Lepisosteus oculatus: one gene and its partners. The protein of the gene in region 2 interacts with the protein of the main gene of each other region in a pairwise test. Links are inferred from orthologs where the notes say so. Each region holds a gene or a part of one and is shown on either strand. Other genes may lie near its edges.

Region 1 (7,559 bases), on a different chromosome or scaffold from region 2:
GTTCCCTGCCTCTGTATCAGAGAAAATCGTCTCAATAAAAGTCACAAGGGGCTTGACAGTTTCCTGCCAGCCACTATAAGAGACAACACTGGAGCCATATATTAGTGTCCAATGGCCTTTCTGCCACAGAACTCATGTTAAATAAACCCACTGGTTATAAACTATTTACTTGGCATAATGTCCACGATCAACTGCTCTACAGTTTTTTATTGTGGTCTGTTCCATTGCAGACGAGTAATTGCAATGCCATCCGTAGAACCAGTCACTAAATAATGTAGGTCATAACGAAGTGACTATTGCAAACTTTTTCCCAGGATATGAATCACAACTGACCACAACCCCTGGGTAATACACACTGGGGTTCTTTGGAGAGCAGAAGTTAAAGGACCTTCCTTTTCAAGATGTGTTTATTGAAATACCCCACCCAACCCCAACCTCCCAGGCAGGACAGCCTGCAACTACCTGACTGAGCACAGAGGCACGCACACACACAACACACAACACACACGAAGGACGTTACTAGTACCTTTCTCTGTGTAGTGGATACATTGTTACAGGCTAGGAAGAGCTCCTTTTCTACAGCAGAAAGAGAAAAGGGGAAAAAAGGTGTAAGTGACAGGATAAGAGCATGCAACTCCATCAGAAAGCTGGATAACCAGCAGCAGCTGCAGACAGACAAGGTCACAGCGAAAGAACATTTTCTACAGCAATATCTGGTCACTGATTACAACCTAGTAATACCCAGCAAGACACAAACAATAGGACAACACATGCGGGAAGGCGGTTATAGAAATTCTCCAGATTTTCATGCCAATATCTGATAGAGAGCAGAGAATAGTGTTTCAGCTCTGCTCTAGAGCATACAGAGCCACTCAGAAGAAGTGTCCAAGTCAATACCAGGGCATGAACCTTATTTCTTATTCCACCCTAACCAACTTCAGGAACAATAGAGACGACACCTGATGCAGCTACTGAAAACATTTTCAGAGAATTTCAGAAGATCGTCTGATTAGGTGAAACTTCTCTTTATTTAAGAGCGCTGGTCCTAACTGGAGAATTTTCCTTTGGCATAAAGGCAACACAAGAGGAGTCCCACTGTGTTGCTCCAGTGCGTGACTAATCACACCCACCCGTGTTTTACAGAAAGTGCACAAGAAAGTGAACCTACTTATATCAAGCCGGGTGTGTGTGTGTGGACGGAGCACATTTACTCCACATATCCGTGCAATTACATGCAAGTTGTCACGAAAGATCCTTTCCAATACTGTCTCACTTTTGTACATTGTAACAACACCTATGATCCAATTACACAATTCGCTGCTACTATTAAATGTTACTAATCGCCGATGGTATCGTTACTTTAGAACGCAACACGATGCTTCCGAACAGCACGGCGAAATCGTCTCTGCCACGTGGCTTTAATAGACGAAAACTCTCGCGACAGGACAGGGCAACCCACGCAGAACTGTCTCCCGTGGAATCCTGGAGACCGCGAAAGGTCACAGCGGAGCTCTCAGGCTTTCTGCTGGCGAACGTTCTCGCTCAAGTGTCTTTCCAGTCATGTCACCTGGCGTGAAGGTTCTGCGCCCGAGTTGTGTTTCATTAAATATGAATGTTCAGCTCTGTGTTCCCACGCTCTGAAGACGCGAAGTTTTCCCAACAGAGGTTTCTTTTAAAGCACTTAAGCAGAATAACTTGAGGGCGACATAAATACTGTAGGTTTTTCAGCTGTCTTGCAACATAGTAGGAGGGCGTTCCTCCAACCTTTATGCTGCTTTTAAATCCTGTTCCCTTATCCCTCCTACATTTTACTAGCTTCCCCGATTTAAAGCGTATATTTCGAAATAAATGATCCATACTTACATGCCCCGTTAACTGCATACAGTATGTGCTTAGGTCTGGCGCTGGGGGGAGGGGGTAATTATTTAAAAGCATGCACAGGTCCCAGATTTTCATTTTAGCACTTCGTTTATTAGTTTCATACCGGTAAAATCAAGGGGGGGCTCCGCCACTGACAGCCACAGCATGACTGTCCTGCTTCAAAGTTTGTTTGCGTTTAAAGAAAGTAAAAAATCAGACCCAGCCACTGTCGCAGCGGTTTTTAAAGACTAATCCAGCAACACGAGACGAATGCTTTCGTAAACGCCGCCAAGGGCAACGTGTCAAGATACGTTCTGAAGCTAGCTCATAGAAAAGCACTTTTCCCTCCCAAAAGAAATTCATCCAATGCGAGGAAAACAAATATGAACTGATACTCTCCGTGCATTGCTGGTATTCGTCAATCCGCGAAGAGACACTGGAAGGAGGCTATGTTCTTAAACATCAGTTTATTTATAAATATCCACATAGAAGCAATGTGGTCAATGTAGCGCCATCCTTAACTTTTCCCTCATTCTGCTATTAACAACATTTTTTTTTTTAAGTTTTAAAAAATAATAACAACATAACTCACCCCATTTCGTTTTTACTCCTGTGTAGATTTTGTTTTTATGTCAATGCTGTGCAGCCCCGTTTTCTAGCTGGTCATGAGAGGGTTTTTTGTCAGGCTTTCCCGTTCTTTTGTCTACGGATCCGGATGCTTCTTAAATTTCCACCGGAATTTCACTGCATGAAAAGAGGGATGAGTTCTTGGCTGTGCTTGCCCCCCGGAATCAAGCTGTGCAAGAATCGCCAATTATGAGTCTTTTCAGAAGGAAAAAAAATGTTCTCAAACGTTGTATTTGCAAGTTCGGAAGGTGCTTCGTCCTGTACTGCAGTCCTTTTGTCTCTCAGAGTCTGTACTGCCAAGTTCCTCTTTCTCCTCGTTCTGCACTCCGCTAACCATATGATTTAACACTCATGTTCTGTATTTCAGCTTCCCGCGTTGCAATAGTCTACAAACGAGTTTATTCTTGCGTTTGTTTAATGACGACTGTCAAACCTTCGGGCTAGCTCTACTTTTCTGCGGGCTCATGGTGTCTTCCAGTCCTGAGAACGCTGCCACAATCCCATTCTGGATGGCAGTTCTTGCTCCAGTTAGGTTTTAAACCATCTTGTTCGCCACCTGCTGGTTACACGCGGAATGACACATCGCTTAAAGCTGTCGAACCTAGTGTTCTGTTTTTAAAAAACTCCCCTCTGTGCTTTCTGCGGGTCTGAACGCCCCCGCTCCCTTTGTTAAAGAGCTGTCATTTATTTAAACCACAGGTGCACCATTCCATTCCTCTAGTGTCCAGAATCCAGCAGGTTTTCTGGGTCGTTTTAAATCCTCGGTAGATCTTCGAAAAGAGTTAAACTGGTCCAGTGAAACTAACGATTAGGCCAATTAGGTCATTCAGAGCAGAGTGGGATAGAATCTGGAGACACTGCGACGTGCCAGGAATGGAGCTGTGCACCACTGATTTCAGTTTCTTTGGGGACTTAACTTGCAGATGAAAACATTACATATATGGACTCATATAGGATACTATTACAGAAGTTTTAAAACTCTTGGACTTCGCTGTATCAGTGTCATAGCAGAAAGTAGTCCTTTCTGTGTCTGTAGCACAACACTCTGTAGCACAACTCTGATTATTGTGCACCTCAGATATCTTGTCAATGGGATGTGGATATCAAAGCTAAGAGTAATGCAGTAGTAACTCATCTCAGTTAAGAGCATATATCAAGAAATAGTGTATTACACCTTATAAACTAGAGCTGGCAGCACAGACACTGCTGAGAGCAGTGGATTCCTAAATAGGCATTTATTTTCCTCCATAGTGACTCTGTGTGCGGATTTCTTTCCACTTGGCTTTAATGAATGTGTGTCACCTTGGTGATGTCTTTTATATCCAGATGAGCAGCTGTCCTGCATTGGTGTAAGATCCTGTCAGATCTCAGAAGCTCTGTAAGGTCAGTAATGGAAACAAGAAAGAGAGGACTGAAACAGAAAATACAAAAACTCAAGCCAATATGCAGTTAATGAAGGGGGCATGCTGTAAGAGGCACTGCTTTGGATGTGAAATGTCAAACTGAGCTCCACACAGCAGATGGTAAGTCAGCTCAGGTATTGACCCTTCATGTCCCAGCTCATTGCTGTACAATTAAATGAATTCAGATCTGCCCTGTTTTAGAGTGAATTGTGATCAGAGATGTTAGCAGACACTGTGTCACCTGATCCCATCAGATCTCAGGAGCTAATCGAGGCTGGGCCTGGGATAGAAAGCCTCCAAGGAAATCGGGTTGTTGCCACTGCAAGTGGTGCTGGTGGACCGGTAGGTGGCGCTCTTTGCTCCGTCAGAATTTCTAAACCAATGTCTCGGTACAGTGACTGAGATAGGAGGTGCCTTCGTTTGGTTGTGATGTTAAACCATGATACTGACAGCTTGATCCCAAGAGATCATATGGCACTTTTTGAGTGGGTAACTGGTGTGATGCTTAAATTCTTCAAATGCCCAGGCTCGCACAATCTAGAGCTCTCTCTTAACTCAGCTCACGTCTGCTCCTGATCTGCTGGTTAGTGGGCTTGCTGGTGCAGAGGGGCTCCCATGTGTCGATGAAGTGGATCCCCTCCTAAATGGAAAGTGCTTTAGGATCCTTTGACATGAAGCGTTAACAGGAATCACAGACTCTGTTCTTATCTCCCGCTTTAAAGAGGCCAATATGAAACCCATTGCTCATCCTCAGACAGCAGAGCAGCTGACGCGACCGGAGGAAAGCGAGAACGCCCCTCTTTCTTCAAGCCCCCCGGCTCTGCGGGTGATTTCATTCGTCTTCTATGTGCCGGTGCTGCCGGCCCCCCATTCGGGACTCCGACACCCCCAAACCCACACGGCAGCTCCATTCAACCAAGCTGCCCGTCAGACTTCGGAAACATGGCAAGTCCAAAGCCTGCCATTAAAGTGGAAGATGACCAGATAAAAATCCCCCACAATATGCTTCTTCTGGTTTACTAAGGGAGTGTTTGATCTACTTTGAAGTGATCTATCCGTATACACAACTGTGTTCTGTAAAACTTGAAGCCAAATATATAAGTGAAATCCTAAGACACTGATGGTGCACAAATTGCCAAATTCAGCTTCTTTTGGTATTTTTCACATCCCCTTTTTTCTCAGTTAACACTGTCAAGTCTTTTCAGAAGCTTGTCTTTCTTGTTGTTTGGTTTGAACAACAGGTTAATAGGACAAAGAGTTGGAAACACCAAATTAAAATATAATTAATGTGAAAGGACACTCACATGTGCTCTCTACAACTTGTGCTATATAACTAAATACCAGTTTCAGACTGACCTGATCATACATACTGAATCACTGTTTTCCATTAATATTCCACTGCAAACTAACTGGGTCTCATAGCATTAAGCATAACATGTGAACATCAATCCCAAGTAGACACTGTATTAGCCAGGAGTCTGGCTCAATCCCTCCATTTTGAGATTTATTCCTGGCTTTCCCAAGACTCGGTGACAGTAAATTTTCTGACTGCAAATATCATACCAGACAGGCAGGGAAAGTGCCACATGCAGGCATTAAAAAAGTCCCTATTCTCCAGCAGCTATGAAAACTGGCTGTATCCAGGTCTGGGGATAATGCTGTGTGTCTCACTATAAACCTGTCTTTCTAACGGATTAAATAAAAACTGATTTTTCTCAACATGTTGTGTCCTTAAACCACCTGACAAGAAAAAAACAGTGTTGCACAGATGTCCCCACTTATGATGAGAGCTGGTGAGATCTCTCTCACACTAGCCTGTGACTTGACTGCGCTGTAAAGACTGGTTTCGTGACAGAAGCGCAGCGTGAGTCCACATGATGGAAAGGTACCCCGATTGTTCACATCACCATGCTGAAGGAATCTTGAAAAGAAAATAGCATTATCCGTGTGAAATATAGATTAATAATACAGAAGCAGACAAATATATGTAGTGTATTTAGCGTGGTATTCTATGCTGATGTTCTATTTTCCTCTCTGAAGGTGGCAGTACTTGAGTTAATGCCCTAGATTTGAACTCAGTCATTATATACTCTTGAGAAAACACTGTAAAAATGCCATTCGTTGTTTGTATTGTGAGTGTTGTAACAGCTGTTCTTTCGCTCCTCAGGGAACCTCCGATTCAGCGTAGAGCTTTTCAAACGTGCTGCAGTATACTGTAATAAACACCGGCGAATTTGCTCGCTGTACTTTCCTAAACAATGCTCGGAATAAATCCCCTTTAGCCCCTCTAAACGAGGCGTAATCGGCGTTCAATTAAAAAAAGAAAACGAACGAAAGGGAAATCTATAGTTTATTCTCAAAGGATAAACAACAGCTGTCAACCAACTGCGGTTTTATTTTCCTGTTCAAAGATTTTTTCCCTTGTAGCCAGAAGTAAAATGTAATTTTAGTAGATCAGTACAGGCGGAGAAAGATATGATTAACAGTCTCTGTCTCCGAGAATGGAGGAAATGAGTTTCAGACAGGATTTGGGATCGAGTGACCACGCCCCTCCCTAAACGTCCTCCAATCAGACCGCTATAGGTCGACACACCTTCTAACACGTTGCCCCTCCCACCTCCTTATTAGGCAGGGCAGAGGTGTGTTTATAATGAAGGCGGGGTTGAGGAGATAGCAGTATTGCTTTGTTTCATACAAGCTTCTTAAACGATTTTTGCTTTTTTTAACTATGAATTCCTACTTTTCAGTAACATTCTCGAAACGTAATAGTGAAGATTACTAGCATGTCTATCTGTCCCTTAACACATCCTTAACATTTGGCTTTTTATCATGAAAAACGTGTCCAGTACTGTTATAATTTCTTGAGAAGTAAAAAGTTACATTTTGCAGTTCTACACAATGCATGGAGTGGCTCCAAAAAGCCTTTTTAGTTTAATAGCACTGACCGTGACAGAGGCCTGGCAGCAGTATTTACAGGTGATGCTTTAAAATACGTTCCCTGCAATTACAAGTTTACAACATAAAGAAAAGTTTGTTAATTCTGGATGACTGAGAAACGGTTGATATGCAAAATGTGCTGTTTGCGCATTCACCACCCCTACAAAACCCATTTTCCAGGACAGCTCATAATCTTTAAAATGCCAGTAAGGCAAACAACATTTTCTCTCATTTAAATCCTTTGCTGCCCTCTATTGATTACAAATGCGTCCAGATTTTACTTTTCCCAGAATAAAAATCACTTTTAATTAAGCAGTCAGATGTATTAGATTACTAAACATAAACTCTGAAAAACATACCTATTTTATACATATGTTGAAAGTATTTTGAGTACCACTCACGACTACTAAAAATTGATTGGGGGTGTTATTATCCAATGATCAATCAACGTTATTAGTCACTGCATGCTTTGCTAAAAAGATTTTATGCAGTGTTTACTACTTCTATAAGAAGAATGAAAATTAAACTTAGTCTGTTTACAATTACAAACCAAATAATTCCTTACATTTATACAGCACTCCACTCAAAACACTTCACAGACCCCACACAGCAGCCATCAGTGGGAAGGATAACAGAGCAATGAAGCTAATTCACCTTTAACCCCGGCTGCACGTCTTCCGTAAGACAGCGTGGCGTGACGTCACCGTCACGTAGAAGACGTGCGCCCGGGGT
Region 2 (7,030 bases):
CCAAACACAACACCTCCCGGGCACTCCACACAAGGGCATCACGACTTGAAGACAACTGTTTACTGGTGGAGAAAATGGCCGAGACTGTTAACAATGGAATGAAAGAATGAGAGACAGCAACATGAAGAGCTGCAGTCCTGTCAGACAGTCACGGGTGTGGACGAAAACCGCACACACCTTCTCTTGCTCTCTTGTCCCTCACTGCAGCTCCTTCCCTCCTCCTCCTCCACCTCTCTCTTGCGCCCCTCCTTCAGCGCGGTCAGGACGGCTTCTTTCGAGCAGGGGTCCACCGAGGCCCCCAGCCCAGGAGCCAGCGCGGTCAGCGGAGAGGACAGCCGGTCAAACCTGCAGCCAGTCCAGAAACAGTGTGAGAAGGGGAGACCCTTCTGGACCTGGTTTGTGCGAGTTTGTGTGTTTCATGTGGGTTTCCTGCTGGTGGTAAACTGGCTTCTGGGAAAAATGGCCCTGGCGTGCGTGCGAGGGGGGCAGAGCGAGCGAGCGTGTGTGCGAGCGTGCGAGGGGGGCAGAGCGAGCGAGCGTGTGTGCGAGCGTGCGAGGGGGGCAGAGCGAGCGTGCGTGCGTGCGTGCGAGGGGGGCAGAGCGAGCGTGCGTGCGTGCGTGCGAGGGGGGCAGAGCGAGCGTGCGTGCGTGCGTGCGAGGGGGGCAGAGCGAGCGTGCGTGCGTGCGTGCGAGGGGGGCAGAGCGAGCGTGCGTGCGAGGGGGGCAGAGCGAGCGTGCGTGCGTGCGTGCGAGGGGGGCAGAGCGAGCGTGCGTGCGTGCGTGCGAGGGGGGCAGAGCGAGCGTGCGTGCGTGCGTGCGAGGGGGGCAGAGCGAGCGTGCGTGCGTGCGTGCGAGGGGGGCAGAGCGAGCGTGCGTGCGAGGGGGGCAGAGCGAGCGTGCGTGCGAGGGGGGCAGAGCGAGCGTGCGTGCGAGGGGGGCAGAGCGTGCGTGCGTGCGAGGGGGGCAGAGCGAGCGTGCGTGCGAGGGGGGCAGAGCGAGCGTGCGTGCGAGGGGGGCAGAGCGAGCGTGTCCTGTGGCGAAGGGGAGTATAGACAGGGAGGGACAGACCCCAGCTCCCCCGCAACTCTGAACTGTATGGGATGACAATGGACAGAGGGCCACGATCAGGACAGCACGTGGCAGCAGTGGCTCTGGCGCCGGAGAGGCCCATACTCACAGAGGGGAGCGGGTCCGGCTGGGTTCCGGCCGGGCGATCTTCACCGTCACGGGGCTGCGCGCCGCCGGGGAGTTGCGTGGCGTCAGGACGTTCTTCCTGCGGCAGCCGTCCCACTGCACGGGGGGCAGCGGCCCCAGCGAGGGGCAGCCCGGCTGCTGAAGGGGGTAGTGCCGCTGGGGGGTGATGCTGAAGCGGCCCGCCGCGCCCAGGCTGTCCCTGCAGCACACAGAGCGACAGACCGTCACCGGACCGCACGCAGCTCGCACCTCCCGCCAGCGTCTGCGTCCGGCCCGTCCGGGTCAGCCCACTTCCTATCCGGTCGCGGAGCCCCCCCCCTAGGGCTCCAGCTGCCCAAACATCTCGGGGCACTTCATCTCCAGCCCTGCTGCACCAAGCCGGCCCGGTCCGACAGCCGAGCCCCCCCGGAGAGGCCGGACCGCGGCGAAGCAGCAACTCCCACATTTTCAAATCTTGGAGGGAAACCCCGCCGCTGGCTTTAAACAGAGGCGAGCAGACCGGCGCTGTAGCACTTAGGAACAAACCCGATTTATTTTAATCACAGCGCCGTCTCACTCTCCGCAGTAGCAAAGCACAGAGGTTGAGCCGCTTCGCCCGGCTGGGTCTTACCCGAATGACAGTCTCCTGTTGGGGGTGTGCACGGCATGGTTGGGCCGAGCCAGCCTCTCCCGGAGCTCCCTGCTCGCCCCGCCGGCTCCGGGGCTGTCCGCCTTACTGAGGTAGCTCCCCATCAGCAGGTCCCGGGGGCTGAACACAAACGAGCCGTTGCCGCCGCCTTCTGCCTCCTTCTGAAAAGCGCCCCGGACCTCCCAGCGCCGCTCGCCTCTGGGCGCCGCCGAATCCCCAAGCTCGCCTTTGCCGGGGCGGCCCTGGTGGCCCCGGGAGCTGACCCGGCCCGCCGAGGGCACGCCGTTCGCGGTCTTGCCCGGCAACCAGCGTCTGAGCGCCGGCGGGATGGCCAGGGCAGGCCGAGGCTGAGGGCCGAGCCTGGTGTGTTGGGACGGGCCGCCGGCGTGGCAGAAGCAGGCGACAGTGCACACTCCAAGGATGAACAAGACGTAAAGGAAAGTCGGTATGTAATAAAGAGCGAAACAGAAAATCGCGACAGCCAGGAGCGCCACAGAGATCAGCGCGATCCGCCGCTTCTCTCTGGGAGACATGGCGGCAGCGCGCCGCCGGAGGACTTTAATATCCCATAATCCTGCCGGGCGCGGGGCGCGCGGGGGGGCCGGTCTCGCTCGGCGGGCAGGAGAGGCGCCGGGAGCCGGCCTGTGCCCGGTCAGGGGCTGACCTCTGTCCACAGTCACCTAAACCGACGAAGCGGGTTTGCACGTCGGCCGATTCACCGTCAAGTCGGTTATTTATATTGGGATTCCTCTTGAACTTTTACCGCAGCACCATAGAAAGTGTTTTCATGTGTTCTCACTGCGTGGTGCAGCAGTACTACCACGCATGACAGATGCACTACAAAGCATTGTGGCAACAGCACGATTGTAGGATGCAATTTCCCTGATTAGAATTATAACTTTCAAGAGAATCAGGTGTGATCAGGGTGAAACTCATATTTTATGCCAGCAGTGACGAGGACACTCGAGTGTAAAAAGACCCCGACCATCGGATGAGACGTAAAACCGAGGTCCTGACTGTGGTCATTAAAAATCCCAGGGCGTTTCTCGAAAAGATTACGGGTGTTACCCCAGTGTCCTGGCCAAATTTCCCATTGGCCCTTACCAATCCTCCTAATTATCCCCATCTCTGAACTGGCTCCATCACTCTGCTCTCCTCCTCACCGAGAGCTGCTGTGTGTGAGAGTACTGGCGCATCATCCAGGTGGGGCTGCACACTGGTGGTGGAGGGGATCCCCATTACCTGTAAAGTGGAGTGTCAGGAAAAGCGTTTACAAACACAAAAAAAAACATGTAACCTTACTTCCAAAGGGAAACTTTTTGCCCCGGGAATTACCAGGATACTGCTTAACTTTATCATGCATATCCCACATTTCTGTCAGTCGATTGAGATAAGTTAAATTTACAGCCTCAGAAAATGTGAATTTCATTTCTTCTCATTGAGAGAGATCTGGGTCCAGATAATACACTGGTTTGATGCAGAACTATTCTGTTTGCTGGACCACAGCAAACCTGAGAACTGTTATGTGGACTTTAGTCTGCCTTTATACTGTAAGGAGCAGTGAGTTGCAGTTTCACAGACCAGGATTTAGCACTAATCTGGGATGATTACATGTTAATTGAAGTAAGCAGGCCCCCTACTAGTGCTCATGGGGCCAAAGCATGGCCTGAGAGCTATGTTAAAGGAGCTTAACACATTGAAATACTGCAGTACGGTGCTCTCTCACTGGGCTGTGATCTAACAAAGACACTGATTTATTATGGCTGGAGGGGAGGCAGCAGATAGCACTGTCTCACTTTCTCTCCTTCGGGCCCTGGGACGCAGCCAGGAGTATGACTGGAAATGGGAGATTAATTACTGGCAGAAGTGTTTTTGAGCAAAAAGGATCAAATTCACTAGCAGCACATTCACATCCACAGGACTCCAAATTAAACGTTTGCTGTAGAAATCCTAAGCAGTTCAACTCGCCTTAATTGCAATGCTCTTACGTTTTCTTAATTCAGAAGGAGAATTTGCGTTCCAGACAAAAACAAACTTTAACAGTATCCATGTTTCCTTACGCTGCACTGTATTTTGACAAATCATTCTCATTGAACTGGGTTGTATAGTGGCTCAGTGACATGGACAGCTGTCCTCTAATGGGACAATAAAACGTTCCCTTCTTCCTTCAACGTGCTAGAGAGAAGTGCGAGTGTGGGCACTGGGAACTCCCATAACTTCACCTACAAGACAGTCCTGAAAAATGAAACTCTTAGGACTTGGGGAGCCATATCCTCTGGGACTCCTGTACATACCCTGAATGCTTGTAATGGGCAAACAATCCTTCTGGGTTCAGTGTTTGAAGGTTTTTGTTCTGTAATCCCGCAGGATTTCCAGAGCTCTCGTGCGGGACCTTTCACAGGCCTGCTGCAGAACGACGGTGCTGAAATGATTGTTCTGTCCCGAGGGGAGGAAAAGGTTCCAGCTACTGAAGAGCCCTAGATGTGCTTTTGTGAGGACAAAAAGGTTTTGTTTGTCAAAAGGCTTTTTTTGCGCTGGAGGCTGGAGTGGGCAGTTGAACGTGTAGAAGATGACTCCACTCTGGAAAAGTGAAAGACGGATAAACAGAACGTTTCCTCTGCTTTATTGTGCAAGGAGACGCAATTTGGTTCACCTGTAAGAAGTAAAGCCGTACAGTAGTACAGCCCGGTGAAGCACGGTGTGAACAGTGCGAGGCACAGAGGTACGGTCAAGCACAATGCAGGCTGGGGGGCCACCACAGGGCTACACTAAAGCCCAGTGTGAAGGGGGCTGAAGGACCAGGAGAACAGTGGACACTCACAGGGTGGGATGGGGGTGGAGTCGGAGCAGGTGCTGGGATTCCGGGATTCCTGGGTGGGGGGGCGTGTGGACGGCTGTGGGCCCGTGGCCAGCCGCCAGGAGGGAGGGAGGGAGGATGTGAGAGGCTCTCTGTCAGCCAGCTGTGAAATTCTGAGGGGACACCTCACTTCCTCAGCCGGCCGCTTCCCCTGAGCGCGCCCTGTCTCTGCCCCGCGACCTCGCACTGCCCACCCCTCCTTCGTCCTCTCGCCATCTCCCCGAAGGCCAACGGACACACCTCCCGCGCTCCCCGCTAGGACTCCGGGGTGAGTTCAGTCCAGGACCCGGCCGGCTCAGGCGCCGTCCAGGACCAGTCCAGGACCCGCCAGGTTCAGTCCCAGAAAGCAGCGCCTTCCTGGGCCACTCTAGACAAATACAGGAGGAAACTTTTACAGACCATAGAAAAGGGGGAAAAAACTGAAAAGAAAGGAAAAAAAAAACTTGGAACGGAAATGAAAGTTTCACAACTGATGCAAAACTGTTTGACAGCGACCTGATTCATAAAACATGGTTATATACACAGTACAGAATCCTGCAAAAAAGTCTCAAGTGGATTCTGGAATGAGTTCCGGAGCATACCGTGCGACTATTTTTAACTGTCTCCATCAGTGTCCTTCCCTCGCCCGACCAGGAAACGCAATCAGGACGGATAGCATTTCAATTTAAAGATCACCCTCACCGTTGCGGGATCAGCGATGCTTAAGATGACGCAGCGAACAGGAATATGCTCGGTACAATAAAGACTGGGTCGTGTTTGGGTGACTCCGCCGAGAGCCGTGTTGGGTATTGAACTGAGTGATGTGCTGGTGCCGCCAGGGGGTGTGTCGGGACACAGGCCCGTGTCCAGCGTGTCAGACTGACAGTGCCTCCGGTCTCGGTAACGGACCCGCATCTACAGCCGGTACACAAACTCTGGCAATGTAAACAAAGTCATGGATAAGGGCGTGACAACAACGCGCCACGCCATTAGGGAGCAGTTTTCCCCTACTGGAAACCTACCGAAACGTACAGAGAATCCCACATTTTATCTAAAATACTTATAGAACATTCTGCACAATTTGGGGATGTTATTGAGTAGAGCTCTTACTAACCTAAGACTGCAATGAGACATGGTTCCCCAATGTTTTTTTTTCCCCCAGACGCAAGTGACTAACTGGGTCAACAACCAATCAGGTAAAAGATTTGAGCTCTGGAAGGCGGGGTAGCTGGGTGATTGATGTGGAAATTGACCAATTGGACGTCAGGAAGAACGGGTGTCGTAAAAGGGGGAGGGGGGTTCTGGGCGGGACTATAGCGATGGACATTCCGATCATCCCAGAGGCGGGGCTAAACTAAGATTGACGCCGAGACCGCCCAAGAAGAAGCCGGAAATACGAGCAATGGGTGGGCCACTGTATTAAACTAGCCAATCACATCGCCAGGTTTTCAGTGTGGGCGGGGCCTGCGCCGGGTGCGCCTCGGCGAGCTGGGGGTGTTCGGCAGGCAGGCTGGAAGGCAGCTCCCGGGGCGGAGAGTTGTGAACTACAGAGTGGCGAAGAAACTTCGTCGGGGCGCTTGGACGTTTCCCTCACTGCCTGGTCGTGCTATTCTAAAACAGCACTCCGTCCTCGCCGCCCGCCGCGATGGACCGGGTGAAGAGCTCCATACAGCAGGTCCCCAACCCCATCCCCAAGGTGCTGAGCCGCCGGGCGGGCGCCAGCAGCCTGGACGCGGAGCGGGAGAGCTTCGAGCGCAGCCAGGTAGGAGCGGCGCCCGGGGGGCTTGCGGTCCTCCGTGTAACGGGTCCTGAGGAAAAGGCAGGGCAGCCTCCTGCGAGGGCCGGCAGGTTCCCAGCGCGATTTCCCAGCCGTCCCAGTCCCAACCGGGGAAAGGCGGCGCGGCGGGCGTCCGCGAGCGGGTCTCGAGCCGGTCTCGAGCGGCTCTCGCGGGGCACGAGCCGGGGAGTGACGTAGCGGGGCCCCCCCGCCCCCCCCGGCTCTGCCCCTCCGGCCCTGCCCCTCCGGCCCGGCGTCGTGCTCTGTCGCGCCTCGGACCGGCGTGGAAATTCAGGTGACCCCGCCTGCCACTCGCGAAAGCGGTCCTGGGGGAGCGGGCGCGTCCGGGCAGAGCCCTCGGTTCGGACCAATACGGCTTGATTTTGTCGAAACTCGCCTCAAGTGACCGTGTGAGAACGGGCCGTCGCCTTTCCTCGGCTGCTGTCAGTTCCGATATCTGTTCCTGACGACTTCTAACCTGTTCTTGTGAGATCCGTCAGCTGGCCGTAGCGATTAGCTGTCAGAGCGGCTTGAAGGGCTGATTTACAAGTAAGCGCACGGACCGGGATGTTGGCGAGTTAGTTATTCACGATCC
Region 3 (7,375 bases), on a different chromosome or scaffold from region 2:
CTGAACCTGAACATGGAATCACATGTATTTCTTTATTAAGTATATTTATTGTTCAGGGTACATTTTTATTAAAACAAAACTGAGTAACAATTTAGTTGTCTGAAAAATATGTATTTCATGACTTTTAAGTGTATGCTTCATTTCTTTGTTACTGATAAGTTACTATAGTTTTGAATTTTAATAATATTCACTAATATATGTTTTCACTAAGAACAAATATTCACTAAGAACAAATTAAAAAATACAGAGACAATCTAAAAATACTGCCTACTGACATTGTTAGAATATGAAAAATGTTATTCATTTTTGGGATTCAATATCTCAGCTTCTGGGATATTGCAAGTCTAACACAATGTGCATCTGTGTTCTAAATCGACTAATAAATGTGATATTTGCGACTGGCACTTTGATGAATAAAAACTGTTATCGCTTGTTCCTTCTTAGTATACTCTTACTTCTATGGATGTTCAGTTTTTGTGGGGTTTCAAACAAATCCCCTCTGGGTTTTAAGGAAGGCCACTTGGCAAATACCTTAATTATTTAATAACCCCATCAAACCATTTCATAAAATTCACTTGCAAAGTCAGCGTCATTAATATTGTTGATGAAATTGTTCTCGATCTCCACGATCGTCAGTATAAACATGTCTGTGGATTACACTGCATTTTCAGGCTCAGATTCAGACTGACTGAAGATGCTCTCCGTGTTGTTGATTTTGTAAGTACACTAAATGTGCGAATCCTTTTAAAATGAGGCACCTGAGGTACCTGAATGTCTAATCTTGTCTAGCAATTAGCAAATGGTTGATTGTGAACCTTTTAGCACAGTAAATGAATGGGAAACCACTACCTCACTTGTAAACTCTATGTTCTGGAGAAAGTGCAACCATTCCCAACTGTCCCATTCCCATAAGGGGAATGTACAACCTCCTTTGTTGTTCAACATCTGTCTAAATGAACCACCTGCGGTCTTGGCGTATGAAGATTCAATTATGAGAACATACATCTGTGATGTCTGCATTGACATACAGTATAGTCCAAAGAAATTAATCAGATAGAAGTTATGTTAGCATCAGAACTAAATGGGTTATTAGGACACTCCAGAATACGAACAAACTGATTCCATGTCCTAAAAAATGTCTCCAGCCTCTTCCATCTCCGAAACCATGACCTTAGCAGACTATGGCCTCAGAAGATGGTCTGCAGTCTCCAATCTGAGGAGTTGAAGGCAATGAGATTGCTGTTGTGTGCACTGACATTAGGACATCATTCCATAGTTACAGTATAGAAGAAGCATGTTATTTACACTCATTGTCATACTTTTTTAAATGATATCTGACAATGAATATGTCTTTGAAGGTGGAGGTGTTAAAGAAGGCAGCCGTCGTTGAATCAACTGATTTATGAACTACGCACATGACTCATGAATGTGACCCTTTATCGCGTCTTTTTTCTATGCGCGCACCCAAACACAGCTTGTCTCTGCAGTGTCACAGCAGTCTCTGAATAGAAGCAACACACTTTAATCACCCTTTAACCTACACACAAATACTACTGCAACCCCAATTTAGAAAAAAATAACTTAATTTCTATATCTGCTTTTCTGAAATGCACTTGTTAACAACTTCAAGTAAGCATTAATTTCCAATAATAAAAACTGGTAAACCAGTTACACCAGTCATTAATATCATCATGTGCTGATGATGAATTTTATTTGATGAATTCTAAATATGTTTATAAACTTGGCGATTTATGTATTCACATGGGTACGTAAAGAAAACTGAAAAACCTTTATACAGTATAAAACTAACTTTACGACGAAAGATTTTTTTGAACAATAGACATAGTATTGAATGAAGTACATTATAAATATTAGAAATAGCGGTTCGATATTGGCAATAAAAAACTATTGGAAATACATTATCTAGTTCAGCGTTCATATACGATCAAACATTTAATATGCAAACGCGTACGCCTGCAAAATGTAATAACATTTGGTTTAAAAAATGTTGATTGTTAATAGTGAGGTTAAGATTAACACACATTTCTTTGGTCGAAAACAGGCGAACTCTTTGTTAAAACGATGCTGCACTGGTTGTTTTCAATATATTATACGATTTAATTAATCATATATTGTATACAGTGATTTGATGAATGGATTAGTGGGTGCTTTAGTATTGGATCAACTACCAATCCAGTTAAATGAGAGCAACATACGCGTCTCCATTCACAATTTCGGGACCAAAACTTCTCAAAGTCAACATCCAGTAGCTCGGTTTCGAAAAGGGTACACGAAGTACTTGATCTCGAGTGCATCAGCTTTAAAGCCCGAGTGCACACTGTATGTACTATTAATACGTCTTACAAACCTTAAGACACTTGGAAGTAACAAAATGTATTAAAAGTTTTCTCACGGGATTTATCCGGGATCTATTTTATATGGAAAAATGGTAATATGTCGCGAATAGAAGGAATTGAAATACAAATGTTACCTCTTCTTCTTGGCTGTTATATTCATTTAACTCGTTCTCTTTTTCAGTTTTGCTGCTGTTCATTTTGTAAAGCCCGAATTCAAGTTTATGTAAGCTTTTTTTTAAGGATCCAGCTGTCAGTACAGTTGATATCCAGGAGGCAGATTAGACCCTCAGTATACAGTCCAGAAATTGAAGAATGCTAATCTCTTCAATTAGTCAACATCAAAGACCTTCGGCGTTGAATGGAAACCAGAAAGCCAAAAACAACGAGGAAACCAAGATCAAGAAACGACTAGGGTCTCAGAGTCTGGGTGCCAGGGAATCCTGCCAGTTTCACTTCAGGCTGTTACTCCGGGAAGACGCCTATGAACTCCAATTCCTAGGTCTCCAGAATACTCCACTTTGACTGCTGTGTGAAGAAAACCTGATCATTTCTCTTTTGTTGCTGGTATGGCCAGAACGTCAGACAGATCCCGACAGAAGTAAGCTTTCTCTCATTGGGAGGCTGGGTACAGAGAAACAGGGGGCAGGTCGTACTGTATGTTGTGTTCCACTTAAGCCATTAGGAATGTTTCTAAAAACGCAACTTGATAATAAGGATACGAAACAGAAGAGCGCTTCAGGCTGAAAAAGATATGCTAAGAAAGAGAGCGAGAACCAGCAAGAAGGTTTTTTGGGGGTATTTTTCATGTAGCTGTATCAGCGCAATCTTTCTTATACCCCGATACAAAACGATTATTGATCAGTTGTGATACGCACTTCAAGTAGGCATATAGATACTAAACAATGAACACGGGTCTTAAAATGTGTTTTAGTTCTAATTTTAAAGAAATTTTTATGCGCCTAAACTACATTTAAAAGACAGAAACAGCTTTCGCTCACCAGCATACATTATGCAAAATAAGGAATACTGTATGTAATACGGAGGAAGTCAGTTGTTGATATTGTCTCTTGATTTTTTTCTCCTTTGTTTGATGCAGGCAGTTTAAAGTGCATAGGCTTCCTGGCAGGAACAACTTCCTTCAAATCCCCCTTGACATTTAATTGAATAATAATTGGGTGGCTGAGATATCGTGTATAGCTCTGTCCAAGCAGTCTTCATTCAGGATCTTTAAGTCAATAGTTTGTCTTGGAGCTACTTGCAACTTTATTCAGTCTTACTTAAATGATGCCAAGATTTTCAAACTGTGAAAGGCCAAAGTTGATACAATGATCACTATGCTTAATACTTTCTACAAAAGTTTTCTTTTTCTTTGTAGGCTTCACCTTTTCGTTTTTACCTGCTTTTTTTATCTTTGGAAACAGCTCATCAGCTGATTGCTGTCAAAGGAGATACAGTACCAGGCATGTCTATGTACACTACATTTTGGTCCTGTATACGCTTATCTTTTGGTTTTCTTGTAAAGTAGATTGCACTTTGCAATGATGGTCCATATATATATATTTTAAATCCATAGGACTCATATATAATTAAAACTACAATCGACATTTCTTGTTTTATATTCATCCAATTTGCAGGATATACTGAAGGCAGTACAGCGGCACAGTAGTTAGCATATCTGCCTTGCACTGTTGTGGCTCTGGGATAAATTCCAGACCTATCTGCTATTTCTATGGAGTTTGTGTGTTTTCCCCATGTTTGCATTGCTTTCCTCTGGATGCACAGGTTTCCTACCACAGTCCAGACACATACCATTAGGTTAACTGGCTTCTGTGAAAATTGGTCCTGATGTGAATGTGCGTGTGTCTGTCTATTCTGCAAAGCACTGGTGTCCTATCCAGGGTGAACCCTGCTTAGCTCCTGTTGCTTGCCAGAATAGGCTCTGGCTCCCCCACGACCCTGAATTGGAAGAAGCAGTTAGGAAATGGATGGTAATTCTGTATATACACCTCCAACACACCCATCTGTCACGGACATTTGACCCACCAGAAACTCCACAGTGCTCTAGAGAGCAAGTGGCATTCTAAATGCACAAATGCAGTGGTATGCTCAGCTAGAATACACTAAAAGTGATGCCAGACTGGTCTTAGTTTAAACACACTTAGTAAACACATACTGTATGAAACTAATGTGTGGGAGATTCTTGGTGTGAACACACACAGTGAACGTGTGTGAAATCTGCTACAAGACAACCGAATCCCTCAGACCAGAAGGAAATTGTGACTCAAGATCAGGGATCAGAGAGTTGATCAATGGACCCACAAAAACTACCAGCTACCCTCCTTATTGAGTGAGGGTATAATTGAAATACGTTTGACTACATGTTTCAATGTACTCCGTCACCAGTTCATATTATCATCTCCAATGCCTTTAACACCTGTATGGCAAATGCTGGCCCATGTTCCATAGCAAAGAACTGGAAGATCTGATAAAGCTTTTAAAAGTTGTAAAGTTAGAGTCATCCAAACAAAACTAGTTGATTAGCTGTATAATTGTGGGTTCTAGTGGATGTTTAACATGGATTTAGAAAACTTATTTCTTGCTTGACTAGTTACAGTTATTTTAACAACCAACAGTAGTAATGGACGCACACAGAGCCTACTCTTATGTGTTGGAAGTAGTACGGATGTAGAGTTTGGTCATTTTTACTGCATCTCATTTTGTAGAGGTAGTTTGACTACCGACGAGGAACATAACTATTGAAGTGTGTTTGGACAGTTGAGGCATTTGACTAGATAAGCTTGCTACATATTTAAGGTTATGCAGATCAGTGAAAACCAGATAACTTGGCAATTTATGAGACTGGAATTCCCCTCCAGCCAGTCCATTCAACTAACACTATCTGTAAAAAGACGGACAGCAAGAAATGAAAAATATAACAGGAAAGAGAAGAGATACAGTTACAGCTTTTACAACTCACTGGGTTTTAATCATATTTGCAAGATAAAACAACAACATGGGTTTACACTTGTTTATTGTCCCTGCAATCCTAGAGCAGGTAAGTGCAAAATGCTACCTTGCCTTTTAACTCTTTCTAACTTCAAAAGGAGGCTTCTCAAAAAGATTTCTCTGAGACTTTGAATGGCATTTTAAAAAATAACAATAATCCTGATATGAACCTCCTTTGCTTTCTTTACAGGAAGTTACGAGCTTTATGAAGGTACAGCTTTTGCTTTAAATTTGAACAAAAACACATGGAGTGGATTTATTAGTTAGAAACTACATTTCTGAGTTTGACCCAAAAAACATTCTAGGTTAAATAATCAATTAAGTAAAATATGAGGACTATGAAAGAATTGATTAAATTATTAAAAAGTACAGTTTGGTAAAAAGAAAAAACAAAAAAAACAGGAAAACAGTTTTCTCAGAGATAATCATGTGAAACATTCCTTCTTTTATTTTCATTGGCTTTCCCTTGCAAGTAAGGATGGTTGTCGTCTTTGGCTCTGAATGTGACTAATGAGGCCAATACAGCTTCTTCGAGCTTTTGGGTCAAGTCTTTGTGAACTCTCTTCAATGCTCTTGATTTGCTTCTTGTTCTTTCAAATTGGTTCAGTTATGTGCCATAATCTAATCCAATAAAGCCTATGTTTATGACATGTAAGATTATGATGATAATAAATACAAATAAAATAGAGGATTACCTGTAAAGCACTAGGATTCTAAAGGATAACTACTATGGATTTGGAAAAGATAGGACTTGCTTAAGTAATCTGATCAGAGTTATCTGATCAAGCAACAGCAGTACTGAATTCAAACAGCATTTCTGACATGGTACTGTAGGCCAGGTGTAGATTATTGTGTGTTCAGAATCAGTGTAGAGTATGTAACGGGAGCCCGTCAAAGTTCCCGTGAAGCATAGTTCAGGACCCTATGCAGACGGTATAATCTGGAACTGGAGAAGGACATCTGGTGGAGGAGACGAAGAGGATCAAGACGGGATGACAGACAGGAGGGTGTGACTACGGTGATCCATTGCTCGTGGGGGCGTGGCGATGGCAAACAGGTTCAGGGAAGTCCAAATGGGGGAATCCGGGGCGCAGTCCAAATTCCAAAACGGGAATCCATCCAGGACAAAACAAACACAGTTAAAATTCGGAAAGGGATCTAGAACAGGGAGAGGGTCAGGGAACCAGGAAGATAAAAACTGGATAACGAGGCCGGGTGCTCCGAGCCCCGGACTCAGCTTGGTCAGGACACCGTTAGGAAGCCTACGCCTTCAAGCCGTGGACGTAGGACAACTTGATGGTAAGTGGTTCTCCAGGCATCTGTCTTCCAATGCAGAGCCAGGAGTAGCGAGAGCGCCCGGCTTAAATAAGGAGGGACAAACAGAGGGCAGGTGCACATAATCTACTAAAATACGAAAGGGCCGGAGCGCCCTTAAGAGGAGGGATTCTGATCATGACATAGTATGTCTCAGGACCTTAGAAAATGTGTGGAGAAATTTCCAAAGGTTCTGTGTCATTTGTAGTGATTGAATATTCTTACAGTCCTGATCTCTAAGGGGAGGGAAAGAGGACCCACATGTTGGCACAGTCCCCATCATTTGATCTGTAATATGATAGTTTTCACTCCATCCTTGTTCTTAGGTATATGGCTGGTAATTTATATTCCCTTGGATTACAAGCCTACAAAATTCTACAGAGACAGAGGCTGGCAACAATCTAGAGGGATAATTTCCAGTACAGTAAATGGCAATTGAACTTCATTAGCATTAAACCAGATGCTCCCTTCTTCATTATTAGATTACCACAAGAATAAAATCCTTTTGCTCCAGATGATGATTTGTATAAGATAAAGGATGTACCATTTTCCATTCCCAATACTCACCTGCTACATAACCTTATTGATGCACCCATATTGATGCCTATTCTGCAAAAGATGACCAAATGTAGAAGATGCAGAAAGCGCAAAAGATGAAGAATAGGAAGATTAATAATAAGATGAGAAGATGAGTCCTA
Region 4 (7,478 bases), on a different chromosome or scaffold from region 2:
ATGTATACAGGTATGGCTCCTCAGTTAGTACTTAAAACATACAAGATACTCACACACTCGATAGTGTTCATGTATAATAACATTTCATTTACTTCAAGAAACTTATTTGAAAAGAGTTCATTCAAAAAAAATAGATTTCTCTGTATAGTACATCATTTACATATTTACACTCCAAGGTGTACAGCTTGCAGAAATTCCGGGTTGTGAAGACCGAGTCAGAGTCCTTTGGAAATTCAGGTCCAGTACAGGTTCTGTGTGCAGTGAACTGGTTGTCTGGGTCCCAGTGCAATCCTCCCTGGGCTCACAGTGTTGATCAGTTCCAAAGCCTGTCTGTCCAGCTCCCCTGTGCCCCGCCCTTCCTCTCCACAAACACTTCCCACGCCCTCGGCCCGGCGACACGGAGTCTGGCCAGTGCTCCTGCTGGCACTGGCTGCCGGCCAGGGCAGGCTCTGGGACCTGCCAGCGGCTGTGTTCTCCTCTGCTCCTCCAGCAGAGCGCGAGGCTCCCGGGCCCGAGCACTACTGCCGCACCAGCTGAATGTCGTCGTACATCTGGAGGGGAAAGCAAAGGAGCAGGTTAGGCTCTGGGGCCCGCAGGAGTCAAGAACCCCCTCCCACACACACTTTTCTGCAGAGGTAAGAGAACCGCCACGTCTAGCTTCCTGAAAGGAAACCAGTGACCACCCACGGCTCTCGACACATCCAATCAGAGCTGATGACAACTAGTGTCACGTTAATTCCTGCTCCTGCTTCAGTCGAGTGCCTCATGCGTCAACACCCCACCCCCACCCGGTTCAGCCAAGGACTGGGACAGCGCGGACACTTACGTCATCTTCCTCGTACAGAGGCTCGTCGTCGCTCTCCTCCGCCTCGCTCTCCGGGAGCTCCCGCAGGTCCTGCGCGGTCAGGGCGTACAGGTGTCGCTGGATCTCCGCGTTCTGCCGGCCGTAGGTCAGGTGGTACGGCGTGTGGCCCCCGTAGGTGAGGCTGTTGACGTCGGCCCCCTTGGCGACGAGGAGCTGCACCAGGGGCAGGTTCTGCAGGTCCACAGCCAGGTGCAGGGCGGTCCGGCCGTTGCACTGCTCCTGCGAGGACAGGGCGAGCTCACGTCAGACAGGCCACACGCTCTCCAGAGCCAGCGGAAGCACAATCTCACAGCAAAGTCCCCGCTAAAACTCAAGGCTCTAATGGTGGACTGGAAGACGTGTTCCAGAAAAGATGCTCAAGTGTACCACCCAGCCTCTCACGATATGCCCCTTCGAACCCCGAGGAATTGCCCAACAAGGCAGAGCACAAACCTACCTGCACATTGATATCGGCACCCAGCTGAATGAGGTTCTCCACCAGCGAAAGATAGCCGTGGATGGAGGCCAAGTGGAGGCAGTAATGTCCTGGAAAAGGAGAAGGAAGAGCAAGCTGGTCAGTGACAGGCCACCATGGTTCAGCGTGGTAGTGGGGCTGATCCTCCGATCTTTCCAGATATTCAACATCGGCACCAGGCCTTCTGTTTCTGGCGTCAATGTTGGCGATTTCCAGCTCAGAGTCTTTATTTTTACCAAAGCCAGCTGACTCCGAGTTAACATTAATAACATTAATAAAGGGCATCACTGCACGACGAATGCCAACGGTTACCTACCGTTGTAGTTGGTGGTGTTGAAGATGTAGGGCAGGTGCTGTGTGCTGCCCTGGGTCAGCACGCTGAAGCAGTGCAGAGAGCCCTTCTTACAGGCGATGTGCAGGGCCGTGTTTCCACAGTCATCCGTCAGCCTGGGGTCGCAGCCAGCGGTCAGCAGCCTCTCCACAACCTGGGGCTGCTCCATTATCACGGCCAGGTGGAGAGCCGTCTATTTGGATAAGAGAAAGGAAGAGGAATGTCAATCCATGCTCATCAACGTCTTCACTGCACATTAAAATCTGAAGGAAAAAAAAAACCCCCATTAACAATTCCTCCCCACTAAAGGGAACTAGACAAAAACATCCCTTCTGCTGGAAATTACCTGTCTCTGGTTGTTCTGGACGTTGAGGAACGGGTCACCGCGGCAGCGCTCGATAATCTGCAGGGCGCAGTCCGCGGCCTCGTGAATAACAGCCAGGTGGAGCAACCTGGAGGAAAAGAAGATGAGAATCCATTCAGTTACACGGTTTCTGGAGGGACTGGAAAGGAGGCCGATGGGGGGGGGGGGGGAGGGAGGGAAGTGCTTGAAGCAGCACTTGCGTGTTGCGCAAGCCTGGGTTTTCGGTGGTAATTTCCACTAGCGAGGTCCTGACACATGAGCGCCCCGCCGCTGGCGCCGCGCCAGGGACTTTCCGCCGCCGCCCCTGCGAGGCGCAGAGGACTCCGAGCCCCGCTGTTTACGTCAACCCCTCCGACTAACGCCCAGCGCCTTCTCGCCTCAAAGACCGAAGGTTTTTTTGAACTCTTTAAAAAAAAAAAAAGTTTCTCGCATGCACCCTTTTTGTCTGTGCCGCCCGACTCCCTGCAGACCTGCGTGCTCTGGTGCGCGATGGTCATTTTGTTTCCGAGTACGAACCCCCCCCCCGCTTATGGTGTCGTTTCTATCTGAACACTTCTTGATTCTTCTGTAAAAGCACGGCATATGCTTGTTACAAGCCACGCCGTTTTCGATCAAACCCCAGCTCATGCACTCGTACTAAGCGCCCTTCTTTCCTCGTTATTTCGTAACGCGCGGGTCCTCCGCGGTCAACAAATTCAACTTACGTGTCTCCGTCCTCCGTCCTCTGCAGTTTCCACGGGTCGTTGTGGAAGTCATTCCGGTTGGCCTCCGTGGGATTCACCCTCAGGTTTTCCATGTCCTGCAGGATTTCTTGATATTCCTCCTCTTTCAAAGAATCCAACCCGCTGTCTAGCCTCTCGTCCTGGCATTGCAAATGTTTCCCATGCTTCAGATCCCGATCCTCCATGTTGTAATATCCCTGGTTACCATTAATAGCTTCCATTTTGATCTTGAGTCGCGCCTCCGACAGTCCTCTCTCTAGCTCTGAGCTCAAAATGAGTGTCGGCGCAGAGCCCGTCCAATATAAGCCAGGCGAGCAAGGGCGGAGCAACAGGCAGCCGGGGATTTCCAGTGACTGGCGAGGCAGCCTTGTGAGAACATTGTTAGCAGCTGGGGAAACTCAACAAGGGTTTTTTATGGGGAAAATTCCCCCCCAGATCAGTCCGTTTAGTAAGAATGAAAATTTGTAGTTTCCTATCAATATAACCTCGATTTTACACTATAAGTTCCCGCGCTGCGGAGTCGTGAGGGCTTCTAAAATGTTATTTGTAGAGAAGGGGTCGGTAGTTTTTAACCCTTCCCCACGCATGAGAGAGTTTTAAGTTTCTTTAAAATCACGTTTGGTTTGCACGATATTGTACGACATCGATCTCCAGGCAGGCTTCCGAATAAGTACGCGAGATGGGACATTTAGGGATTCACAAATAATTTCCGAATTGCTTTGCATTGCTTTAACAACAGCTATATGTATATTTTTTTAAAAACAAATCCAGCCGTTTTATGTTACTGTAGCTTGGGAAGTCGTTGCAGTCAGAACTTAAAATGTTAAATAAAAACAGGGTCCTGGACCATGATGAACCCTGAAGCAGGGAAGTGTTCTGTAAGCCAGAGAAAACAAAAGTCTTTTTGAAAAGGAGTTTTACAAATGCTGAGCTCCCCCCCCCAAAAAAACAAAACCTGCATTGTATTGTAAGTACGTTGCAGGTGAGCGCTGTTCTTTTAAACCCGCACACGACTATTTTCACGGTGAAGCTACAGTATTTTACATTCGGCACTGTGCACCCCGTCTGTGTAGATATGGACGGTATCGGCCAAATAAAATAAAGGGGATCTGGGTGCCGGCACGGGTTTCCATGTTCAGATAGAAACGGGGAGCATTTGAGAAAGAGAGAAAATACGTGATGGAAATGGGAACTCAATTTAGGAGGTTCGTTTGGGAAAGATTCACTTCCACTCGAGTTCAGAGTCCCACTGAATATCGGACAACAGCGCCTGGGAGGGTTGGGTTTTTTTCTGGGGGAAATAACCCACGGTTCGAGCCGAGGGCGTTTTACTCCTGCACAGGCTGGGGGACTTCAGCCAATAGGTGGGGTTGCCCCTAAATATTAATTTGAAAATTTAAATAATATATATATACTCTTATACAGTACTCTGTTTGAGGACATGTGTTATTGATAGTATTGGAAGGCTATACCCCAGCTATTTTATTGTTGGGTACGGTTTTAAGAGTGTGTGTTTTTTTTATTAACCTTCGAGGTACGATTCAATTATTTTGCATGTGGGAAATTGAACATTGCACGGTGCTTTTTAAATATAAAGTGCTAGACATGTCTGACAAAGACTTTTCCCACACAGGAATTTTGTTTCTTGAGAAAAGAAAAGCACCAGACGGCAGAAAACATTTGAAAAAATTCTCTTGGTATTCTGTTGTTTTGTAGCGGAGATGGGAATTTGTAAATAAAAATCTTCTGATCATGCTCGTGCTTCAAACAATAAGTTACCAAGCAAAGAAAAACCTGGACTTTCCTCATGGAGAAACCCTCTTAACAGCCTGAAACCCCTTGAAGATGTACTCTTCCCCAAAAAACTCAGAATGTGTTCATGAAAATCCCGACATTGCGATCTAATGCATGCATAGCCGTTAACACTGCAGGAAAAACAAATCTTTGCAAAAGTAGTTAACTGTTTTTTTTGTAATGTACGGGAAGACAACGACAGAATCCAGGTACAGGAGAGAAGAGCTTATGAGTTATAACTTTGCATAACGATTGGTTGCGCTGCTGTAGTGTTTCTGGATTGAGACAATTTTATGTGTGCGGTATGACGTACATTTATCTTTTCCTCTGTTTTAAAAAAGCACCACACTTTAATTAGGTCACTATTGCTATGGTTAAAAAAAAACTTTTCAGTTTCTTATATATTTTTTTCTGAATGAAAGCATCCATTCCAGAATTACGGCTGTGGGAAACTCCACCTGATCGAGGCTTCACCTGTGACATGAGATGAGTAACCCCGGACATTTTCTGTTTGCAAAACACTGTACTGCATTAGTACAATGAATTTTACAAACATAGCAACCGCAGCATAGCAACGGTATCGAAGCGCGAGTCCTTCTTCAACTCCACAGCCCCCCCTGGCGGCCAAGAGACAGCAACAGCTTTCGCCTCAGTGAAATGCTGGTTTTTATAGCGTGTAGACTAAAAACTGTCAGAAACTATAATAATAATAATAATAATAATAATAATAATAATAATAATAATAATAAGCCAGTGTGAGCACTGCCTTTGATAAACGGCTCTATTCCAAAAGCAGACTTTTAATCCGAATAATCCATTCCTTCATTTCTTTATTAGTTTTCGCCACATAGGCACTTTTTCACAAGTATTGTCGTCGGGCCATGCTGTTGTTTTGTATCCTCGAGCATTGTTTTCAAGCCTTTGTAGTCTGCATTTTATTTTATTTTTACACCACACTGAAGGTTTTTCGCAAGGTCAAAGTGCCTCCAAATCACTTAATTTAATAAAGTCATGCTTCTTAATACTTCCCTAGTGGCATACTCTCCAGTGCCACATCTCTGTCACAGAACAAGCCGAATGAAAATAAAAGACCAGACCTCTGTTTTTGATGGTGGGACGACGCCCCTCTGGTTCAGATACCCGTGTTGTCAGTTATACAACGCTTGGACACAGCTCTGTGGCGCGGCATCACTGCAGCAAAGCGCATACTGACCACCGAAGCAGACAGGCCTGTCACTTTCTTAACACGATTAAACTACGGCTTTTGCCTCCTGTAAAGGTGAGAAGGGGACTAAAGAAAAGCCTGATGGAAATTATACAGTACATCCTTACGTTGACCTCTGTGGGTGTGAATGGCAGATGAGTTTTTAAACAGGCCGTGGCAATGCTGTACCGGACACAGCAGGACGTCTCTGCTGCTGCTTTGCAGGTGCCTTAATACCTTCTCAGATAGCTCACCACCTTTTGAGAGGGTGGAAAGATTGACCGCCCCCACTCTCTGTCTCTTTCCCTGGAGGAAGCTGTGAGGTGGGTTACGCCTGAAAGCTGCCGTGTCCTAGCAGGACCGTCAGTCAGCTGAGTCCATGTGTACTGAATTTCTGTGCTGCTTCGGCGTTTTGCTGCAAAACTCAGTTCAACTGCAATGAACTCTTTCACTGAGGGACAGTTGTTGTTTTTTCGAAGCTGCTTTAAAATGCGTAGTTCTTTCCTATCCTCATCTGTTAGCGCCAGGCGTCCTCTTGCCAAACGGCCTCCCACTTCCCCGCGCTGAGGTGGCTGACATTCCCGCAGTGGGAGAGTCCGGGGAATCCCTGCAGCTGGAGCTTCCAGGCAGGACGGCTCCGCGCAGGGCCTGAGCCCAGGGGCTGCAGCCTGTGGGAACTGGCGTTCCAGCTGGGCCTCCGAGCTCCGGCTCCCAGCAGCTCCTGGGGCCTGGCGGGAGCACACCCACTGGGTGGGGCAGACACTGCTGTGAGTCAGAGCCAGGGCTGGGATGCAAATCCACGCAAGGCCATACTGCCGCGATTAAGCAAGAAATTAGCCGTGCGCCCAGCGAGTGGGTGATGCAGCTGACTAGATGTGTACGGTTTGTGAAATTACCCGCCCAGGGTTTTATTCTGCGGTCTGATATAGTGATTCCTGGGACAGCTGGGCTGGAGCTGTCTATGGGAAAGCTGCAGTGCACTTTACAATGTGCAGGAACATCTCTGTATGAAGCTATTGGCTCCTGAACGAAACGAAGGGACAAAATGCATTAATTACATTTTGAACACAGATGAGCTTTGCTAAAGGAAACAGGTAAATGGCAATGTTCTCTTGCTGATGTGTCTCGAAACGGCTTTAACATCAAGGAGGACAAAGATATTTTCTTACAGAAAAGCGCCCATTGATCCATGATCCAAGAGAGCCCATGCAATAAGCACTGCTGGACATCAGGGCCCAGTGTGCAGCTCTGGAGGAGCCGGATGAAAAGCCAGGGGCTACGAGTCCAGCAGTGGTGAACATGCAGCACTGCACAGAGAACAGAGGACATTGATTCAACACACAAATTCAACAAAATAGCTGTTTAAATAGCTGCTAGGCATTTCATGTCTCATCATGGATCAGTCTTTACGCTCGTTACACCATGACACCGGGAAACTCCTCTGCGAGACGGAGATCTGCAGACACCATGGCTAGTCCTGATGTCTTAGTACTATCGATGTCTGCGCTTGAAGTTCACAGGTTCTCACAGCACATTTGGCTGTTGTTTGATGGGTGTTTGAGCTGAAACATCCAAAGTCACAGGTTAGACTTGTAGAGTTTACAAATCCAAGCCTGGATTTCTTGCAGATAATCTGAGCTTCTTTAAATGATGTGAAAACTCTACTTTTGGGCAAATGTTTAGTATGTACTGTAGGTTACATTTCTTATATTTTATATACATAATTAATTGTCATTCCTGTTAC

The links.
Region 1: the proteins of pom121 (region 2) and homer protein homolog 3 interact in binary tests that used the Homo sapiens proteins (3 or more experiments, as listed by UniProt). The two-hybrid records come from large-scale screens. The link is inferred for Lepisosteus oculatus from reciprocal best matches to the Homo sapiens genes POM121 and HOMER3.
Region 3: the proteins of pom121 (region 2) and RNA-binding protein with multiple splicing interact in binary tests that used the Homo sapiens proteins (3 or more experiments, as listed by UniProt). The two-hybrid records come from large-scale screens. The link is inferred for Lepisosteus oculatus from reciprocal best matches to the Homo sapiens genes POM121 and RBPMS.
Region 4: the proteins of pom121 (region 2) and nfkbiab interact in binary tests that used the Homo sapiens proteins (3 or more experiments, as listed by UniProt). The two-hybrid records come from large-scale screens. The link is inferred for Lepisosteus oculatus from reciprocal best matches to the Homo sapiens genes POM121 and NFKBIA.

The regions. Positions count from the first base shown.
Region 1 is NC_090724.1:3,910,831-3,918,389, reverse strand, and holds the start of homer protein homolog 3, read right to left. Parts: upstream 3,019-7,559; 5' UTR 2,458-3,018; coding exon of another isoform or gene 2,453-2,457; intron 2,076-2,452; exon of another isoform or gene 1,864-2,075; intron 577-1,863; 5' UTR 550-576; coding exon 527-549; intron 1-526. UniProt on the Homo sapiens protein: Postsynaptic density scaffolding protein. Binds and cross-links cytoplasmic regions of GRM1, GRM5, ITPR1, DNM3, RYR1, RYR2, SHANK1 and SHANK3.
Region 2 is NC_090721.1:492,929-499,958, forward strand, and holds the start of pom121 (nuclear envelope pore membrane protein POM 121), read right to left. Parts: upstream 3,022-7,030; 5' UTR 2,356-3,021; coding exon 1,805-2,355; intron 1,394-1,804; coding exon 1,178-1,393; intron 346-1,177; coding exon 178-345; intron 1-177. Other genes in the region: hip1 (huntingtin-interacting protein 1), read left to right, coding at 6,304-6,420. UniProt on the Homo sapiens protein: Essential component of the nuclear pore complex (NPC). The repeat-containing domain may be involved in anchoring components of the pore complex to the pore membrane. When overexpressed in cells induces the formation of cytoplasmic annulate lamellae (AL).
Region 3 is NC_090696.1:69,305,158-69,312,532, forward strand, and holds the start of RNA-binding protein with multiple splicing, read right to left. Parts: upstream 3,020-7,375; 5' UTR 2,555-3,019; coding exon 2,492-2,554; intron 1-2,491.
Region 4 is NC_090703.1:3,280,553-3,288,030, reverse strand, and holds the start of nfkbiab (nuclear factor of kappa light polypeptide gene enhancer in B-cells inhibitor, alpha b), read right to left. Parts: upstream 3,023-7,478; 5' UTR 2,958-3,022; coding exon 2,719-2,957; intron 2,103-2,718; coding exon 1,997-2,102; intron 1,844-1,996; coding exon 1,636-1,843; intron 1,391-1,635; coding exon 1,302-1,390; intron 1,085-1,301; coding exon 827-1,084; intron 552-826; coding exon 519-551; 3' UTR 1-518. UniProt on the Homo sapiens protein: Inhibits the activity of dimeric NF-kappa-B/REL complexes by trapping REL (RELA/p65 and NFKB1/p50) dimers in the cytoplasm by masking their nuclear localization signals.